Nothobranchius furzeri: one gene and its partner. The protein of the gene in region 1 interacts with the protein of each later gene in a pairwise test. Links are inferred from orthologs where the notes say so. Each region holds a gene or a part of one and is shown in the gene's direction. Other genes may lie near its edges.

Region 1 (4,352 bases):
AGAAAACATTGACATTTGCATCAAGTATCATTAGTTTACATACGTCTGTGGTTGCAGAGGTAACTGGGAATCCCTCCAAGTAGGTCTGGATCACATCAGAATCAACATCGTGTCGAGCAGAACCCTTGCACAACTCCAAAATCAACTGAAATATCATCAAAATATGTTAATGCACGACTGAGACACCAAAACAAGAACGTTTGCATGTGAAACAAAACACCATTCACCCTGGCCTTCAATCCGAGAAGGAGATGCGCTCTCTGTCTGTGGTTGATCAAACCAGGAACTGCTTCTGTCAGCATGGACACAAACTCCTGCAGCTTCCCATAGTTCATCACATCTTTCCCCTTCATCAGATTCCACATAGCAGCAGACAGAAGATGCAAGGGAGGCACCAGGAGGCGAAAGGAGGGCAAAGGGAAGTTTGGGTCTGAAACATTAATGTGTAAAGTCAGAAATGACCGATGGAGGGCAGTAACACACCCCCTAATTCAGAGAGCATTCAGAGTACTTGCAGGAAACAGCAGGTGGATAAAATTTTCACGATGTGATTTTGCAAAGTTCTCACATTTTACACATAACTGAAACAGTTATTGGCTTCATACAGATAATTAAAAACAATCAAGCAATAAAACAATCACGTGATCTGTTACATTGTTGTCTGTCATTTGCTTGCTTGCTTGCTAAAGTCACTGAGACCAGTCAGTGACTGGATGCAGTTTGCTGGGTTCCTTATATAGGAAACTTTTTTTCCTGATTGGCTTAATGAACTGACCTGTATTGGAATGTTAACTATGTGAAGTGCCTCGAGACGACTCTTGTCGTGATTTGGCGCTGTATAAATAAACTTGAATTGAATTTGAGCTACAGGCTTTTGAACTGGAGAAAATCCTGGACAGATCTTTAACATTTTAGATACACAATCTGGAAAATGTCCACAGATGTTACTCAAAAGCTTCGCAACTTAGTTAAAACAATATATCGCGTAAGAGTGTCTGTACATTTAACAGCAAGCTAACTTCCACTGCGCAACAACAACAGTCTGCCAAATAATGAACATTGTGGTTCCTTTAAATAGACAGAGCCCACTGATAGTAAAACAAACACGTCTCCAGAAAATATCAGAAAGGCAAACTGGTAACATACATACCCTCCATTTTTTCTTTTGATTCCACAACTTCCATTAAAGCATCCCACCAAGTGAATTTGAGGAATCTGTGTATATTTGTGCTGTTTGTTTTGGTGGCTAATGCGCTATTAGAGCGCAAGCATCGCTTCCTCAAGTATTCACTCAAGTTTCCGCTTTTCAAAATATATGTCTGAAAGACGTGTTTTGGTGTTTTCTAATGAATTTCAGAATGCTATTATTTTCAAGTTCTTTTTTACTTCAAAGCCAATGACTAGATAAAGAAAAAGTTTAGAAAATTTCGACAGCTCGAAATATAAAAGTGTGAATTCGAGTGCATTGATGCCTCTTCAAAATAAAAGTTAATCATTTCCTTTTCCTAGAGTGACGTAATCACGTAGCCAGTCACACTGCTCAGTGTCACGTGAAGCCTTCAACGGTGTAAATGTTTTGTTTCATGTCATTTTTTCTTTCAAATTTCGTGCCATTAGACCTGAAACCACATTCCTATTCACAGGAAGTGTAAAACGCTAACATGGACGAGGACGGCCTGCCGTTAGTCGGGTCAGGAGTCGATCTTACGAAGGTTTGTGTTTCTAACTGGTTAGCTAACACTGAAAACCTGAGAACCCAAAGCTATGTTTGTGCTTTTTAACAAAATATATAATCACTAATGCAGAGAAAACTGTGGCCTTTTTCTAACTAATTTCACCTACTTGTAACTGTTTGCCTAGTCATTTTCCTTTTGGTTTGTTCTAAAGAAGTATCAAAAGAGGAAAGAACGTTTTCTCTCCGAACACTGATGTTCTATTTGAATACATCATTCATTAGATTCTATTACCGGTGTTGTGCCGAAAAGAGCTTGTCTGCGAAAATGTGCATCCCCTGCGGGAAGGCGCGTATGAGACCGCTTTTTAATAAATGTGTACAACATGAGCTGCATCCTTCCTTACAAAATGATGGTTTATGAGCAAATAAGTAAAATAAACTACTGTTTATAACATGTTTTATTTTAAGTAATATAATGCACATATAAAAGGTTAGTCATTTTGAGTCTGCTTTTTTAAACCAACAAAATTGTTTAATACTTGCTAAAACATTAGTGTCAAACGTGTTGAAAAAGGTCAATTATTTAATCATTATTTCATCATATTTGTAGTCAAAAACAAAATCTTTTCAGGAGAAACACGGATTAGAAACGTGTTCAAATTCTGAATTGCTCATAATTCAAATTCTTCTTCAATTTGCGTCTTTCGACGGGGATACACATTTCGGTAGGCGTGCTCTTTTCGGCACAACACCTGATATACAGTAGTCTGTTATTCCAAATGTTTTTCCTCCACACCGATTTGCATCCATTATATGCAAAGTCAGACATGTGGGTAGAGTAGCCAGAGATTATACTCAAATAAGAGTAGCATTACTTTCATATATGTTTACTTGAGTAGTTAAAAAAAAGTACAAAAACTGTGTTTGCAAAAAAGCTGCTCAAATAATGAGTAATCATAACAGCTCCTTTAATTTATAAAATCCATTCAAACAGATAATAGTATAATGTTATATGATAAATTATATAATGTAAAGACTTAATTAAAATGTTGCATTTCTTTTTCCTAAAAATACTCAAGTAAATATAATTAGTAACTACCCAACACAGAAAATCAGATTTGATAGTTTTCATCATTCTTTTTGCCATTAGCATTTTGTTTGATGCAAGACTTTAAAGGTAGAACTCAGCTGCTTTTAAAATTCTCTCAAATACTTGAAACTTTGCAATAATCCACAGGTTACTGTATGTTATTGTGTTGTTTAAATAACACTGCTAACACATGACCCTGGTCTGTTTATGTAGATGTTGTTTATTCTCCCTGGTGTTAATTGTTGTTTTGTACTGCTTTGTTTCAATAAAGATTTACAAAAAACATTTTAACAGCAGTAGTTAAAAGTCATTTTAGAATCCCCTCAATATTATTTAAAGCCATAACATTCAAAAATCAATTATACTAGAGGTTTATGTTTAGTAAAATAAACTATAGTAACACTTGGTAAGTTTTTAATTATACTGCTTTTATCTTTTCTCAGGTTCCTGCAATACAGCAGAGACGAATCGTTGGATTTCTCAACCAGTTTGTTGTGCACACCGTACGATTTCTTAACCAGTTTTCCACCGTGTGTGAAGAGGTTTGTGTTTGTTTGTTTGTTTTTTACTCCTTAATGCTTCTTCTGCCTCAGAATATGAACTCAAATTATGTATTTATTTATTTTTTTTACTTCTCTTCACAGAAACTTGCAAACATTTCTCTTCGCATACAGCAGATTGAAACCACACTCAGCATTTTAGAGGCTAAGGTAACTTGTGAGACCTTGATACCGTTTCTGGATGTTGTCTTTTCACTTATGCAGTGACATTGTTCTGAGCAGCTGTCCTCTATTCCTGGACTGGAGGACGTCACAGTAGAGGGCCTCAACCAACAGCAGGCCTCCCACACTAAAGGACCCAGTACTATCGGTCAGAACCTAACTAACGGTGTAGCAGCAGGACCACCTTCTTCCTCAGAGGTAGGAGTTCAGACCCACCTGCAACAGACATGCAGGTTCAATCGGCCACGATGAATGCCAAAACAGTCTTTGTGTCTTTTTTCTTGTTTGGGAGTCTGTGATGCCAAAAATCGGCAGTTGAACTTTTCTTTTTAAGTCGGAATGTAGATTGTCATCAGCTCTTTGGTCGATGCAACAAGTAGAAACCTGCCGTCAACGCAACTGTTGTTTTGTTTTCTTTTGGAGTTTACGTACAAAAAAGGCTCAACATTCCCCTCCTGTTGTAAAGGATAGACTTTTAGTTTTGAGAACCTTCAAAGAAGTATGTTTGTTACTGGCTGCTTTGTTTGCATAGTGATCGGATTGGATTTTGATTGTCCTCCTCACACTCTGACAGGATTGTAAAATCCTATCCAGAAGTGTGACGTTACATATTTACAGTGAGAAAGGTGGAAAACCTTCAGGGCAGATTTCCTGAGTCTGCAGCACAGAGTTCAGGCCGAGGTCAGTAAACAAGCCATCACTTTTGGTTAAAACAGTGCACCAGGTCAGCTCAAACACCTCCTGTCCTCTGTAAAGCACGGTGGCAGGGGGCTGATGATTTGGGCTTATTTCTGCAGTGACTGAGTCAAACATGAACTCCTCTTTACACCAAAGTGGTCAGACTTAAACTGAAGTATAGATTGGG
Region 2 (3,888 bases), on another chromosome or scaffold:
GTAACATGCTGCAGTGTCCACTATGACCCACACATTCAGAGCGAACAGCTAGCTGAGTGTGTGGAGTTTAGAGAGGTGCCGGTGTTGTTTGTTCCATCTGTTGAGAAACCAACTCATCAAAGCTAGGAGGTACAGCCCATGAACTCACCACTGTGCTGTTTCACTGATGTTCCAGTCAGCTAGTGGACTAATTACACAGCAGCAGCTGTAGAGATGCTTTTGCCATCAGAGCACAAACAACAAGCTCTCTGTTCATATTATAAGAAAACTTTAAACATCATTTTGGTGTGCAGTGCAGAAAATGTGATGAACACATGATTAGCCAACAAATGCTGGAGCTGATGGAGCAAACCCATCCTTTAATAATATCTATTAAACACCTGGTTCATCTGCAAGTTTATAAATGCAAACGTTTTATTTATTTATTTTTTAATTCAACATGTTTTCAGCACGTGAAATAGTCTCTCATGGTTGGACGTTTAAACTCACACACACCAGATGCTGAGTGGCACACAGGAGAACAAGTTCAGGTTATGTAAGCAAATAGTTTCATGGGGCAGGGCCAACTTTAACAACACCCGCAACATCAACATAGGGCTACTGGGTTGGAGTTACTGCGCGCACACAAATATATATATATATAAACATGGAATGTGTGCTCTTTTATGCTGAATTCATAATTAAATCCAAAAAGTATTAATAAATAACAACACGTCCCTACTAAACTGGTAGTTTGCAAAGCGCTACTTGATACCCGCGGATCTGATTCGCTCTCTGGAATTATGATGTCGCGACATTCCTAAACATCCTCTGCTGCTGCTTTACTTACCAGGCGCCTTCATTCACGTCCCGTCAGTGTGAAACAAACTTATTTATGTACAAGGCTCCACTCTCACGCAGTCTGGGCGTGAAAACACACGGAAACTCTTGGCAGCTCCAAGTTTCAAATCCAAACTTGCTGAAAACGGAGGAAGACGTGCGCGCTCGGCCGTGCGCATGCACGCGCTCGCGCGGACATGAACATGTTTTCTTATGAAAGGCTACAACCTACAGTATGTAAGTATGTACAGTCTATGGCTACAACCGATTCATGTAATGGACAATTAGAGCCTACACTCATAAAGAAGCGCGTCTCTTGGCAAGCTGAGCATGAACTACACAAGTACCGTGCATGTTTTCCCATCAGAACTCCATCTTCCACACGGCCCAGCACCACTCAACTCTCGCGAGACTTGTCTTTGTTGTGGGAACAGCTGACTGCAGAAGATTCTACCGAGTGTTAGTCTGTTCTGAGCGGTCCAATAGTAAAACGGTGATTTATAGCTGATTTATTGTATTGTGAAGGCACGGATTAACATTCACAACATGGCTGAGACGGATCCCAAGACGGTGCAGGACCTTACAAATGTGGTGAGTCGTGACCGTGATGCAAGCTAGTGCTACTAGCTACTGCTAGCTTGCATTGCTAGTAAGATTGCTCAAGTGTATTTGGGTATTCACATAATCACGCTTACTTGTGTAAATATTCCAGTTTAACACGTCTGTTGATCAAATGTTGCATTAGCTAAACTGTCCTGACATTTAGCTTAATCAGTCACAACAAACCGCTTTAGCATTCGTTACTGTAGGATGCATTATTACATCAGTAAGATTTATTGAACAATTAAGACATGTTTTCAATTGTTCTCTTTCAAATGTGATATTAAACAGCACATTTGCGCGTTACGTAATCATTTAGTGTCTCACAAAGACATCTTGGCCAATGTTTCAGTGTTTCCATGGAGATGAGCATTCGTGAGAGGCGTTTAAGAGCTGAATGACCCCTCACAGCTAGCTGCCTTTTGAGATGACCAGAGTCCTAACTGCGAATGTGTGGGTGTTTTCTCTGTCCACCACACATCCTCTAAGAATGAATTAAAAGCAGATCTCCATGGTTACCAATCTTTTCCTCCGTTGGCATGGGGACACAGCTGATGGATTTTCGCCTCTTTTAGATATCGTTCATAGATCACAGGCTTTGTTTTCAATTCCCAGATACCGGTAATTAAAATGTCACGACTGTTTCACATCCTAAGAAACTAATCAACTATACATTTGACTATTTTGATGTGTATTATATCAGCGTCATCATTTCTTGATTAACACCTTGTTTCTTCTACAGGTTCAGACACTGCTGCAGCAGATGCAGGACAAGTTTCAGACCATGTCAGACCAGATAATTGGAAGGAATATCCTAACAATTTTAATGAACAGAGCATTGTCATTCAAATCTACTAAATACTTTTCCTTTTAATCACATACTAACGGATTTCACCCAGGAAAGTGTTAGTTTTCTGGTTTTCCTTAACCAAATCTCTACTTGATGAGATGAGCACGCGTATTGATGACCTAGAGAAGAACATCGCTGACCTGATGACTCAGGCCGGCGTTGAAGAGATTGAGGCAACGCCGGAAAAGGCTAAAGAGGGTCAGGGATCGTAATGAAGGTAAAAAGTGAAATGGTATACCAAGGCTGGAGGGCCACCGTCCAGCATGTTTTAGTGGTTTCCTTCTTCGACAGACTTAATAGTTGTATTACCCGTTTATGTTGTGGCAAGGTGGAGAAACATGGACCTGGGCGGGATTCGATCCGCAGACTCCCGGGTGAGAGTCACATGTGCTAACCAGTCAGCCAAAGGGACATCCCCATGGCCAAGTAGCCAGGGACAGGATGTTCACCCTGTCACAATGCCATCAAAGTCTGTAGAAGCTTGTTATTCATCCACTGATCAAATGCAGGCGTGTGAAAGCTGAGAAACCTTTAAAGTTTGCAGGATGGTGGCCCTTGAGGACCAGGATTGGGGAGCACTGCTTTAGGACGTCATATTTGAATTTCTAGTTAGTACATTTTAAATTGCACGCCAGTTATGAATGCTTTTTTCTGTCTTACAGGTTTCTTAACCACGCGGTGTGAAGTCGGTCCAGTGTGTCTGGAGGCAGCAGGCTTCACTAAAACTTACTTATGACTTATGTTAGATGTTTTTATATACTGAATATTGTGAGATGGTTACGGTAATGTTAAAGCTAAAGGTTGAGCATCATTTGCAAGGTAGAATAGTTTGATATGTCTTTCTGATCTTCAGGTGGAAGAAAGCAGTTTCTAGAGGTTCTTTAGCTGCCAGCGTTTAATGTGTCAGTCCCCGTATGTGATGGTGCAGCTGGATCCATGTCGGTAAAGCTCGTCTGAGGAGCAAACCCCACTGGCTGCCAGGCCGCAGCATGGATACGACATACTGAACGGGCTGCCGTGTTTGACCACCAGCCCTGTTGCTCCAGATGTGCTAAATGCATTCCACGTCTGATCTATTAAAGCTATCTCTATACTGCAGTTTGCAATCCATTTCAGTGGTTTGATTAGTTTCTGAATAACTAAAGTTAACGCTAGGGTGCTTGTTTTATACGTTATAAGCCAGAACTGTGCTGTACATTATTCACAGTACTATGCAAAAGTCTTGAGCCACCTATTTAAGTATGTAGGCCTTTACATTTCTTCTTAATCTTTGTATGCAAACTTCAGATTTGATGGTTTAGGCTTGAAAAAGCAGTTACACCTGATCACCCAGGGTTGCCCACTTTTTGCCACATTTTACCTCCATCCCATTTGCTTTTTTACTCTATTTTGAGGACATCCGGCACCTAAAACTGAGATTTTCTATTTTCATTAGTGAATGAATTAATGTTAGGATAATTATTCTGCAACGCGTCTAATATTGTAAGAGTCCAGCTTCATAAAAGGACTGTCTGGCTTAAGACTTATGCACAATACTCCATCTGGAATATGTGAATGTTGCATGCTCCAACTTCTTCATGCATTAAATAACATTTTGTTGTTGGGAGAAACTGGTCGTT

The links. The genes of interacting proteins can lie anywhere in the genome.
Region 2: the proteins of washc3 (region 1) and hsbp1b interact in binary tests that used the Homo sapiens proteins (3 or more experiments, as listed by UniProt). The two-hybrid records come from large-scale screens. The link is inferred for Nothobranchius furzeri from reciprocal best matches to the Homo sapiens genes WASHC3 and HSBP1.

The regions. Positions count from the first base shown.
Region 1 is NC_091741.1:43,372,313-43,376,664, reverse strand, and holds the start of washc3 (WASH complex subunit 3), read left to right. Parts: upstream 1-1,526; 5' UTR 1,527-1,661; coding exon 1,662-1,712; intron 1,713-3,208; coding exon 3,209-3,307; intron 3,308-3,409; coding exon 3,410-3,475; intron 3,476-3,547; coding exon 3,548-3,685; intron 3,686-4,352. Other genes in the region: uncharacterized protein, read right to left, coding at 44-145, 228-430, 1,151-1,184. UniProt on the Homo sapiens protein: Acts as a component of the WASH core complex that functions as a nucleation-promoting factor (NPF) at the surface of endosomes, where it recruits and activates the Arp2/3 complex to induce actin polymerization, playing a key role in the fission of tubules that serve as transport intermediates during endosome sorting.
Region 2 is NC_091744.1:87,756,922-87,760,809, reverse strand, and holds hsbp1b (heat shock factor-binding protein 1b), read left to right. Parts: upstream 1-1,271; 5' UTR 1,272-1,365; coding exon 1,366-1,410; intron 1,411-2,161; coding exon 2,162-2,228; intron 2,229-2,359; coding exon 2,360-2,481; 3' UTR 2,482-2,486; intron 2,487-2,931; 3' UTR 2,932-3,367; downstream 3,368-3,888. UniProt on the Homo sapiens protein: Negative regulator of the heat shock response. Negatively affects HSF1 DNA-binding activity. May have a role in the suppression of the activation of the stress response during the aging process.